Linked DNA regions of Oryctolagus cuniculus. The protein of the gene in region 1 binds, or shares a complex with, the protein of each later gene. Links are inferred from orthologs where the notes say so. Each region holds a gene or a part of one and is shown in the gene's direction. Other genes may lie near its edges.

Region 1 (3,561 bases):
TGAAGTCTCCCTGGAAACATGGGAATTACAGTTCTATAAGTATTGAGTATGTATAATAGCATTCTCACTTTTTATGTATTTATCATTATAGATGTGTACATGGCATAAAATGTGCTTGCTTTACAGTTTTTAAAAGTTAATTTTCGATGTGTTTTTCAATAGTAAAGCAAAATGATTTGTTTCTTATCACAACTTTTTCATTTTATGATAATTAGAAAACGGAAATCTGAAAGTATATGAAATTCAAGTGAAGTAGAAAATATATTATAATCTATAATTTTCATTATGTTTGAAGTGCAGTTTTGTAGGCACTTTACTAGCTCTACATATGAAGACTATGTCACTCTCAGAGCCAGTGGTGAGACTTAATAGATAGACTTGAAAACTATTATTATTATTATTGTGGTATGTCAGATGCTGTCTAAACTGAGAAAACCTGGAGAAGAGACCAGTCGTAAACGTCCTGAGACCAGGATTCTGGTTTTAGCACTGCCACCACTGACCTGCTTGATGCCCAATTCTTTTGGTGGCTCCAGATTCTTCATTATGAAAATGTGGGCAGTAATTCCTGCTCAGCTATCCCCTAGGGTTATAATAAGGATAACTATAAATTAAATAATTTACATTAAGATGTCTCATAGCTATAAAGAACAAAACAAGTATAAATGCATTGATCTTGTGTCATTTTATGAATGTGAGTTAAGGTAAAAGATAAGAGAGCCTTGAGAAGATCACTTCAGTCTCTGATAGAGTCAGTTCATTTAATGAGATTTAAGGAATTCCCTAAATAAGCAGCTCTGCATTGAGTGTTAACGTCTTTCATACAAGTGAGCCTGGCTTATTTACTTCTTTAGCCCTCCTTTCTTCCTCGTTGGTAAAATGGGTTGGTAGTATCTTCTTTATGATGTACTTGAGGGCAGTACATTCAGTAAAACATGAATTTATGGTGTTGATAATTATTAGTAACTAGGAATGTTAGGACCAAGAGAGTAGGACCTCCCCCTTCAAAGCTAAGATTGAGTTGTAAAACCTGAACTAGCCTAATAGGAAATCAATAGTGAGAAATAAAGTTTAAATTTTGTGGTAGAGATTATGGTGGTAGTTGAGGAAAGCTTCCTGTTGTAAAATTTTAATATCTACTTCCACATTATTCCTTAAAGCCTTAAAAATAGTAAATACATGAGATGTTGTTATTCAGAAACTAATATAGATAAATTACCAGGACTAGTGCCAAGATGTTTGAAGGACCTCAGGAGAGAAATTGGATTATTGGATACCGTAATCACTCCAGCAAGTTCTTTGAAAAACCTAGCAGCTGTGATCAATGCATGTCACTCACATTTTAGAATAACATGTGGAATATGAGAAATGGTAAAAGTACTGAATTGTTAAAGCTGTGTTTTGTTTTTGCAACTATAGATACTAATTCTCAAACTAAAAAAGTCATCCCAACCATATTACTCACTAAGGAAAAGATTCCATACTTTTTGGGCAAAATCATTCCTGGTTCAATTGCTGGATCTCTTTTAGGTAAATAAACACAAAGATGGGGCAGAACCATCAGATATGATCTGTTAGGGATTCTTAAATGTCTTTTAAAAGGTTGTTCGATAAGGTGCAATCTGAACTGATCACAAAAGCCTAACTAAGAGATTCTGTTCATATAGTTGAATGTATGAGTCGTTTAGAGTGCTAGCACAGATGATTAATCTGTACTGAATTTTGTTTTTGCTTTTTGAAAAATCTTTTATTATTGAGAATCAATAGAAGAAATACAAACATGACTCCCAGTGAAAGCCATTGAGTTGATTCAGTCTTAATATACTCTTCAAGATTCTACCTTTACCAGAAAGCAAATAACTGATCTCACTGCCTTTCAGACATTGCCTTGTTTGGTTCGAATGTGCAGTAAGGAGAGATTGCTAGAGGAGAGAGTTGAAGGAGCTGAAACACTCGCCTATCTGATTGAGCCAGATGTTGAGCTGCAGAGAATCGCTAGCATAACTGACCACCTCATTGCCATGCTTGCTGATTATTTCAAGTATCCCAGCTCAGTGAGTGCCATCACTGATATTAAAAGGGTATGTTTGCTTTTCCTTTTCAGTAGTTCAAGAGGATTTTTAATAAGTTTTTCTTACTGCTCACAACTTTGAACCAATTGATCATTACAGCTCAAAAACATTTTAAATAGAGGAGTCATTTATCTTTGGTTACATGGATTACATTGCTTTGTGAGTTTTTTAATTCAAATATGTTTAATATATTTATAGTTGGGAATTTTTTTACTAAGCAGATAAGCAGGAAAGAAGAAAATAGTAAACTTAACTCCCAGCTTAAACCCTCCAAATAGCACAGTCTTTAAGCTGGGTATTGAAATTATATCAACATCATCTAATCCTATTCAAGGTCACAGAATCATTTTTCTGTTGATGTATTCTCATGCTTTATGTTAAGGGTAATCTTTTTTTTTTTTTTTTTTTAATTTGTTAATTTGAAAGACGACTCCCAGCTGCTGGTTCACTCCCCTGTATGTCCACAATAGCCAGGGTTGAATCAGGCCAAGGTCAGGAGCCTGAAACTCAATCCAGGTCTCCCATACCAGTGGCAGAGACTCAATTACTTGAGCCATAAACAGCTGCCTCCCAAGGTGTTCATAAGCAGGAAACTGGAATGGAAAGCAGGCTAGTTCTCTAACTCAGGCACTCCCAAGGTACTTGGGCATCTCAGCCAGTGGCTCAGCATCTGTAATCTTCTGTTACAGGTGGTGACTGAGTGACCTTATTTTACTCTCCATCAAAAAAATTTTTTTTCAATCTATTCCTGTCTTCTTTATTGAGTTTCATAGTATTACCATTTAAACTCTGGGTTAGGACTGTCAATGATTAAATTATGCTTTTTCTTTTAAGATTTATTTATTTATTTGAAAAGAGTTACACACAGAGAGAAGGAGAGGCGGGGGGTGAGGGGGAGGGTCTTCCATCCGCTGGTTCACTCCCCAGTTGGCCGCAACTGCCGGAGCTATGCCAGTCCACAGCCAGGAGCCAGGAGCTTCTTCCGGGTCTCCCACTCAGGTGCAGGGACCCAAGGGCTTGGGCCATCTTCCACTGCTTTACCAGGCATAGCAGAGAGCTGGATAGGGTGTGGAGCACCTGGGACTCCAACTGGTGCCCATTTGGGATGCTGGCACTGCGGTGGCAGCTTTACCTGCTATGCCACAGCATCGGCTCCTAAATTATGGTTTTTGAAAATTTAGCTTTCTTAGAGCAGGTCGATGTTCCTTTCAACTTCTTGCTGCTTAGCCTGTTTGCTTCTGAATTCTGAGTTTCAAAATTCTCATTCTGAAGGCAGTTGTTCATTTGGCGTTTAATGTTGAAGAGAAAACAGACTATTAAGGAAATGTCTCTTCTGTTAGAAGGGACCTAAAAATCACCTTCGTTGATGTTTGCATTAATTGGGTACACTTCTGTGTACTAAAGTTGTGTCTGCACTTCCCCGGATAGTGTTGTTGTTGTAGTAGAGATGATAAGTTACATTGAACCAGTTGCCTTGTCTGTTTTCCCT
Region 2 (3,406 bases), on another chromosome or scaffold:
CACAGCCCCCACATGCACAGAGCCCCCATGTGCACAGCCCCCATGTGCACAGAGCCCCCCGTGCACAGCCCCCATGTGCACAGAGCCCCCACGTGCACAGAGCCCACGTGCACAGAACCCCCACGTGCACAGAGCCCCCATGTGCACAGCCCCCATGTGCACAGAGCCCCCCGTGCACAGCCCCCATGTGCATAGAGCCCCCATGTGCACAGCCCCACGTGCACAGAGCCCCACGTGCAGCCCCCACGTGCACAGAGCCCCATGTGCACAGAGCCCCACGTGCAGAGCCCCCGCCGGCGCCCTGTGGGCTTTGCCAGCAGTGAGGACGGTTTTCCTTTCCAGAGGGCTTTAAGGAAGCAGCGGAGAAATTCCGCGTGGAATCTGGAATCGAGCCGAGCGTGGATCTGGAAACCCTGGACGAGCGGATCAAGATCCGGGAGATGATCCTGAAAGGGCAGATTCAGGAGGCCATCGCGCTCATCAACAGCCTGCACCCCGAGCTCCTGGACACCAACCGGTACCTGTACTTCCACCTGCAGGTGAGCGGGCGCGCGGGCGGGCGGGGGGTGCCTGCTCCCCGTCCCCCCCGGAAGCTGTGTCTCCTGTTGAAATGCTGATGTGAAAACTCGCGTGGGGGACAGGCCTTTCCTTTGAGACGGGTTTTTTTTAAATGGGATCTTTTTTTTTATATACACGTGCTTATTTGAAAGGCTGAGTACAAAGAGGCAGAGAGAGAGAGAGAGGTCTTCCATCCGCTGGTTCACTCCCCAAATGGCCACAACAGCCGGAGCTGGGCTGATCCGAAGCCGGGAGCCAGGGGCTTGTGCAGTCTCCCACGCGGGGCAGGGCCAGCAGTCGGGCATCTGCCACTGCTCCCCAGGCCAGAGCAGGGAGCTGGATCGGAAGTGGAGTGGCCGGGACCCAAGTCAGCACCCATAAGGGACTTCGGCACTGCTGGCGGCGGCTTCGCCCGCTGTTCACTGTTCCGCAGCCGGGCCGAGACGGGCGCCTGACGGGCGCCGAGCCCCGCGGGGTGCTGCTGAGCCCTGGTCTTCACCCGCTGTTCCACAGCCAGGCCGAGACGGGCGCCTGACGGGCACCGAGCCCTGCGGGCCCTGGTCTTCGCCCGCTGTTCCACAGCCGGGCCGAGCCCTGCGGGGTGCTGCTGAGCCCGGCTCTCTTGCCATCACGCAGCAACAGCACCTGATCGAGCTGATCCGCCAGCGCGAGACGGAGGCCGCCCTGGAGTTCGCGCAGACGCAGCTGGCGGAGCAGGGCGAGGAGAGCAGGGAGTGCCTCACGGAGATGGAGCGCACGCTGGCCCTGCTGGCCTTCGACAGCCCCGAGGAGTCGCCCTTCGGGGACCTGCTGCACACGATGCAGAGGCAGAAGGTAGGGCGGGGGGGCGCGGAGGGGAGGGGCCGCCCTAGGAGCCGGGCAGGGCCGCTGGCCGGGACGCGTTGCGGCGGTGAGCCCGCCTGTGTCTGCACCTGCCCTCCCGCTGCAGCCGGGCCGGCGCCGTTCAGGCTCCTGTGCTGCTGCTTGTCCGTCTACGCCTTCTTCACGTGTCGGGGCCTCCCAGAAAGAGGTCGGTGTCTCTGGAACGTCCCTCCCGGCCACTCCGTGTCCCCGCTGGTGCCCCGGCTCCTTTCCTGGGCTCTGTCCTCCCTGTCCTGGCCTGGAATGACCGCCCATCCCCGACGGTCCACCTGACGTGTTTCGCTGAGGCTGACTTCTGTAATATTTGAGAGGCAGAGTGACAGAGAAAGATGGAGGTCTTCCGAGCACCGGGTCACTCCACAGTGGCCACAACGGCCCGGGCTGGGCCCGGCTGAGGCCAGCAGTCTAGAATGCCATCCTGGTCTCCCACGTGGGTGCAGGGCCCGAGCGCTCGGGCCGTCTCCTGCTTTCCCAGGCCACAGCAGGGGGCGGGACTGGGAGTGCAGCAGCCGGACCTCGAAGCAGCACCCACGTGGGATGCCGGCCGGCCCTGCAGGCAAAGGCTTAGCCTGCTGCACCACAGCGCCGGCCCCGGCTGCCCCTCCCGAAGCTCCTGGCACGGACCTGTCATGGCAGGGGCGACGTGACGCCCAGCTGGTGCCCTCACGGTCCCACAAGTGGCTCACGGTCAGGGAGCAAACGCTTGTCGTGGGCGGCGCACAGCCCCTGCGCGCATGTGCGGGCCACACGGCTGTGTTCCTCTTCCAGGTGTGGAGTGAAGTCAACCAGGCGGTGCTCGACTACGAGAATCGGGAGTCGACGCCCAAGCTGGCGAAGCTGCTGAAGCTGCTACTCTGGGCTCAGAATGAGTTGGACCAGAAGAAAGTGAAGTACCCCAAAATGACAGACCTCAGCAAGGGCGTGATCGAGGAGCCCAAGTAGGGCCCGGCCACGCCGCGGGAGCCACCCCTCGGCCCCGTGCTGTTCTCCGACCCAGCGTCTTTCTAAAGGGAAGCGCGGCCCTCGGGGCGGGAGGACGCCACCTGCAGGGCTGCGGAGAGGCGCCGGGCTCGGCCTGCCCTGTGCCGCTTCCCGGGGACCCTCAGCCGACGGCGCTGGGCCCTGCGCGGCCGTGTGCGGGCCTGGAGGCCACCCGGCCCTCGGGGCTCCTGCCTCACCCGGCCCGCGTCTGCAAGTTTTCCTTCCTTTGTTTGTTTCTCTGTTTTTTCATAGGAAAGAATATATAAATTTGTAAATCCTAATTCTAAGGTGACTCCGCGTGAGGGTCTTGAGTTCGGCCCGGGTGTGTGTGAGGGCTGGGCTGTGGTTTCAGTTTTTTAAATATATATATTTTGGTGCTGTGTGTGGTGAGAGGCGTTCCTAGTGGACCGGCGAGCCGTCTCTGCCAGGCAGTTCTGTTGGAAATAAAAGTTTGAATCATCTCACGCAGCCTTTTGTCTTTGGGGCCTCACGGGAGTGCAGAACACTGTGGTGGTGACGGTGGTGTCACCCAGGACCTGCGGGGGGCCCCGGCCCTGACGGGAGCAGCCCAAGTGCCCCCTACTGCAGCACCGGTGCCGGCCTCTCAGCTCCCGCCTCGCTGTCCCCAGCTGGGCAAGTGTCCCCCTCCGGGCACCCACTGGTGCCTGCTCACAGGCGCGAGGTGGGGCTCGTGCAGCCCAGAGCACAGCCCTGTGGACCCCTGGAGTGGACCTCGCTGGAGCAGTGCTGGAAGCCGGTTGTGGGTGGGCCCAGAACCGCCGAGGCACCGTGTGTCTGGCGGAGGTGGCAGCGCCATACCGGGACCGTCCTCGGGTGCTTGCTGCTGGCTGCCCCTGCGTGCCCTGGCGTGCTGGAGAGAAGTGCTGCCGGCAGCCAAGCCGCTCCTGACTGGCGAGGGCCAGCATCCCTCGGGCACTGGTGGTGAGGTGTCTGCTGCCATCTTCGCACGGCACCAGGTGAGGGG
Region 3 (3,561 bases), on another chromosome or scaffold:
ACAGTATCTGGGGCTGAGCCAGGCCGAGGGTGAGAGCCAAGAACTCAATCCAGGTGCACCGCGTGGGTGGCGGAAACTCAGGTGTCTGAGCCATCGCCGGCCTTCTCCCAGGGTGTGCAGCAGGAAGCTGGAATCAAAAGCAGAGTCAGGAGCTGAATCCAGGCCCCCGCACCCAGTATGGGATGTGGGTGTCACAAGTGGGGTTTTTTTGTTTGTTTTTTGTTTTTTTGACAGATAGAGTTAGACAGAGAGAGAGACAGAGAGAAAGCTCTTCCTTCCATTGGTTCACCCCCCAAATGGCTGCTACGGCCGGCACGCTGCACCGATCGGAAGCAGGGAGCCAGGTGCTTCCTCCTGGTCTCCCATGCGGGTGCAGGGTCCAAGTGCTTGGGCCATACTGCACTGCACTCCCGGGCCACAGCAGAGAGCTGGACTGGAAGAGGAGCGACCGGGACTAGAACCGGTGCCCATATGGGATGCCAACACCACAGGCGGAGGATAGCCTACTACGCCACAGCGCTGGTCCCTGAAGTTCTTTAAACCCCATAGTTCACTGGAACCATGAAAGTGACTGGTTTCCAGTCTGCTGTGTAAGAGTAAAGTGTTTTACATTCTTTGAACCAACTTTAAATATGTGTGTGTGTGTATAGTTTTTTTATTTTTTGAGAGAACGAGAGAAAGCTTCCATCCCTTGGCTCACTCCCCGAGTGCCTGCAGCAGCTGAGCCCGGGACGGCAGCAGTAGGAGGCAGGAGCACCATCCAAGGCTTCCCAGTGGGTGGCAGGGACCCCGTCACCTGAGTGTATCCCTTGCTGCCCGCCAAGGTCTACATTAGCCAGAAGCTGGAGTCAGGAGTTGGAACCGGGTATCAAACCCAGCGGTCAGAGCTGTGCCGATCTGAAGCCAGGGGCTTCTTCCAGGTCTCCCACGTGGGTGCAGGGGCCCAAGCACTTGAGCCATCTTCTACTGCTTTCCCAGGCCATAGCAGAGAGCTGGATCGTAAGTGGAGCAGTCAAGACTGGAACTGGTGCTGTAACGGCAGCTTTTACCTGCTACGCCACAGTGCCGGCCCCCAGAAAATTTTTAACTGGGAGATAAATTATGTCTTAAAGTGTGTTTATGTGTCCCCTAGAAAGTAAAACCCAAAGCTGTAAGGAATAGTGTGCTATGCCTACGTTTGGGGGGGGAGCGCTTTCCTGGAGCCCGCCTTGTGGGAGGGGTCATGGTCAGGGGTGGGATTGGAAGCTGCAGCTGAGGTTGTGCCAGTCTTGCTCAAAGCAGCGAGACTGACCACCCGAACCACACAGCAACCAAACCCACCGGAGACTACTGCGTCACGGGTGCCGGCTCCTCCGCAGGACAGGGAATGGAGTTCTCCTTGACATATCAGCTCACTCAGCGCCCCTCCCTGACAAGCCGGGTCTGCGGGGGAGGCCAGGCAGCCACTGCCCCTTCCGGGTGAGCCCGGAGCCCGTGGCTTGGGCGACCTCAGCGTCTGCCCGTGGCAGGCAAAGCCTGCCTGGGGGATGGGGTTGGCCACAGCACTCCTGGTGCTGCCGCGGGCTCTCCTTGGCTCTGTCAGTCATCCCCAGTTTGGCTGGAGTCCACTGCTTGAATTTCCAGGGCCTGACCCAAGAAGTACAGTCGTCCACTGGTACCCACGGGCACTGCAGCAGCCGACATCCGCGGATGCTCCAAGCCCTGGTGCCTCTTGCTGTATGCGCCAAGTTCCCTCTAAGATGGCGTGCACCCAGTGCCACGCAGTGCTGTGGGGATAGTTGTATTGTTTAGGAAACAGTCACCAAAAAAAAAAAAATCTGTACTTGTTCAGCAGTGCTGTGATTGTGTTGTGTTTTGGTTAAATACTCTGATCCAAGCTTGGTTCACTGCATGGATGGAGGGACACTGTCTATCCTTCTGGTGACTTCTGTGCATTGTTTAATTGTAGAGTTTGGAGGACCTGGGGTGGGGTCACCTGTTAAAACACTACCTGAAGAGTTTGGAAGAGAGACATCCATGCAGAATCACTGGTCGGGGGCCAGCGCTCTGGCAAAGCGGGTAAAACCGCCGCCTGCAGTGCCGCCATCACATATGGGCACCAGTTCAAGTCCCAGCTGCTCTACTTCCCATCCAGCTCTCTGCTATGCCCCGGGAAAGCAGTAGAAGATGACCCAAGTCCTTGGGCCCCTGCACCCACATGGGAGACCAGGAAGAAGTTCCTGGCTCCTGGCTTCAGCCTGGCCCAGCCCTGGCTATTGTGGCCATTTGGGGAGTGAGCCAGTGGATGGAAGACTCACTCTCTCTCTCTCTCTCTCTCTCTCTCTCTCTCTCTCTGCCTTTGGAATAAAGACACCAGTGAGCCTCTCAGAAGAAAGCAGGGTGCACTCTCAGAGCCCCTGGCGCTGGGTGTCCTCCCAGAGCAGGCCTTGTCAGCCAGCTGAGGCCCGGCGGTGGCGTCCTGTGTCCTGGAAGCCCCGAGCCGGGGGCTGCATGGTGGCAGCGGCTCCCTGGCAGGTCCTGAGCTGTGTTTGTGCAGGATCAGAGAGGCTTCTGTGGGGCCCGGAGGGGAGACATGGCCGCACCTCTGTGGTCCTGGGGCCCTCGCCTGCAGTTCCCGTGCCGGAATCTCGGGCAGCCCACTCCTGAGGAGCTGCAGGGGCGTGGCCAGCCAGGCCCGGGGCTGGTTTGGTTTTTTAGGTGGGTGGCATTGACAAATGCAGAGAAATGGCAGATTTTTTTTTTAATGAGCTTTCTCTTAGGGTGATTTTTCCCCCAAATCGTTCATGCCTGTTCATTAGCACATGAACAAATAGCAAAATAAAATTATGTGTTCTACAAAGCACTTCAAAGGCTAATTAAGCATGGGACAGCTCAGTTATCAGCACTGGGATGCTTCAGGGTCACGGTTTCACGCTGCATACGACAAAATGAACACGGTAGCCCTGGTAGATCTGGCCCCCGGGGTGGGGGTGTCTGCCAGAAGGTGTACCCCCTGGGTTGCGGGGGCGGAGAGCTGAGCCGGGCCCGGCAGCAGTGTGCTGCTCTCCAGAGAGCTGGACCGGAGGGGCCACAGGGCTGAGCTGAGCCGGGCCGGGGAGCAGTGGGCTGCTCTGGCCGGGGGGAGACGGCCGTGCACGTTGTGAGCTGGGTTTCCCGCACAGGCGGTGAGTGGGCGCGGCCCGCGTGTCTGAGCGCTGGGAAGCCGCACCGGCAGGGTCGGTTCCCTGGTGGGAAGGGTGAGAGGCTCAGGCAACCCCTGTCCTCATGTCTGGCTTCCACCGTAGGAGTATCCGACCCTCACGACCTTCTTTGAAGGAGAAATAATCAGCAAAAAGCACCCTTTCCTAACTCGCAAGTGGGATGCGGACGAAGATGTGGACCGGAAACACTGGGTGAGTCGCGCTCCGGCGTCCCCGGCACCGCCGGCACACCCTGAGAACTCCAGACTCCCCATTGTGTGGCTGCCAAGGACAGAGCTCCCTCCACTCCAGTGGCCACGAGGTCCCAGAACAGCTGAGCCCGCTGCCCCGGGTCCTGCCAGCCTCTCTTCAGAAAGGTGGG

What was found. Proteins that work in one complex are often made in the same cells at the same time.
Region 2: the proteins of ARMC8 (region 1) and GID8 are in contact, whole or in part, in a cryo-EM structure (PDB 7NSC), measured with the Homo sapiens proteins. The link is inferred for Oryctolagus cuniculus from reciprocal best matches to the Homo sapiens genes ARMC8 and GID8. Residues at the interface, in NP_001350870.1 of Homo sapiens: Asn45, Val47, Ile48, Gly49, Asn50, Val85, Ser89, Met92, Arg127, Arg130, Arg161, Tyr162, Tyr166, Leu200, Ser201, Tyr202; in NP_060366.1 of Homo sapiens: Ile83, Ala84, Asn87, His90, Pro91, Glu92, Leu94, Asp95, Thr96, Tyr101, Tyr183, Glu184, Asn185.
Region 3: the proteins of ARMC8 (region 1) and glucose-induced degradation protein 4 homolog are in contact, whole or in part, in a cryo-EM structure (PDB 7NSC), measured with the Homo sapiens proteins. The link is inferred for Oryctolagus cuniculus from reciprocal best matches to the Homo sapiens genes ARMC8 and GID4. Residues at the interface, in NP_001350870.1 of Homo sapiens: Glu309, Pro310, Asp311, Val312, Asn371, Glu373, Arg406, His409, Arg413, Ser414, Val415, Gln416, Arg419, Thr420, Gln423, Asp424, Val444, Ser448, Cys451, Asn452, Leu455, Phe457, Ala483, Val486, Asn487, Trp490, Met493, Asn494, Phe497, Gln498; in NP_076957.3 of Homo sapiens: Leu104, Ile105, Pro106, Pro107, Pro108, Pro109, Ile110, Gln114, Pro115, Gly116, Val117, Ala118, Thr119, Gly125, Gln146, His147, Tyr154, Cys156, Tyr158, Phe174, Glu176, Phe239, Val241, Pro242, His244, His292, Ser293, Ala294, Pro295, Ile296.

The regions. Positions count from the first base shown.
Region 1 is NC_091435.1:143,472,142-143,475,702, reverse strand, and holds part of ARMC8 (armadillo repeat-containing protein 8), read left to right. Parts: intron 1-1,880; coding exon 1,881-2,081; intron 2,082-3,561. UniProt on the Homo sapiens protein: Component of the CTLH E3 ubiquitin-protein ligase complex that selectively accepts ubiquitin from UBE2H and mediates ubiquitination and subsequent proteasomal degradation of the transcription factor HBP1.
Region 2 is NC_091442.1:703,253-706,658, reverse strand, and holds the end of GID8 (glucose-induced degradation protein 8 homolog), read left to right. Parts: intron 1-342; coding exon 343-539; intron 540-1,194; coding exon 1,195-1,392; intron 1,393-2,208; coding exon 2,209-2,382; 3' UTR 2,383-2,882; downstream 2,883-3,406. UniProt on the Homo sapiens protein: Core component of the CTLH E3 ubiquitin-protein ligase complex that selectively accepts ubiquitin from UBE2H and mediates ubiquitination and subsequent proteasomal degradation of the transcription factor HBP1.
Region 3 is NC_091448.1:66,470,249-66,473,809, reverse strand, and holds part of glucose-induced degradation protein 4 homolog, read left to right. Parts: intron 1-3,284; coding exon 3,285-3,392; intron 3,393-3,561.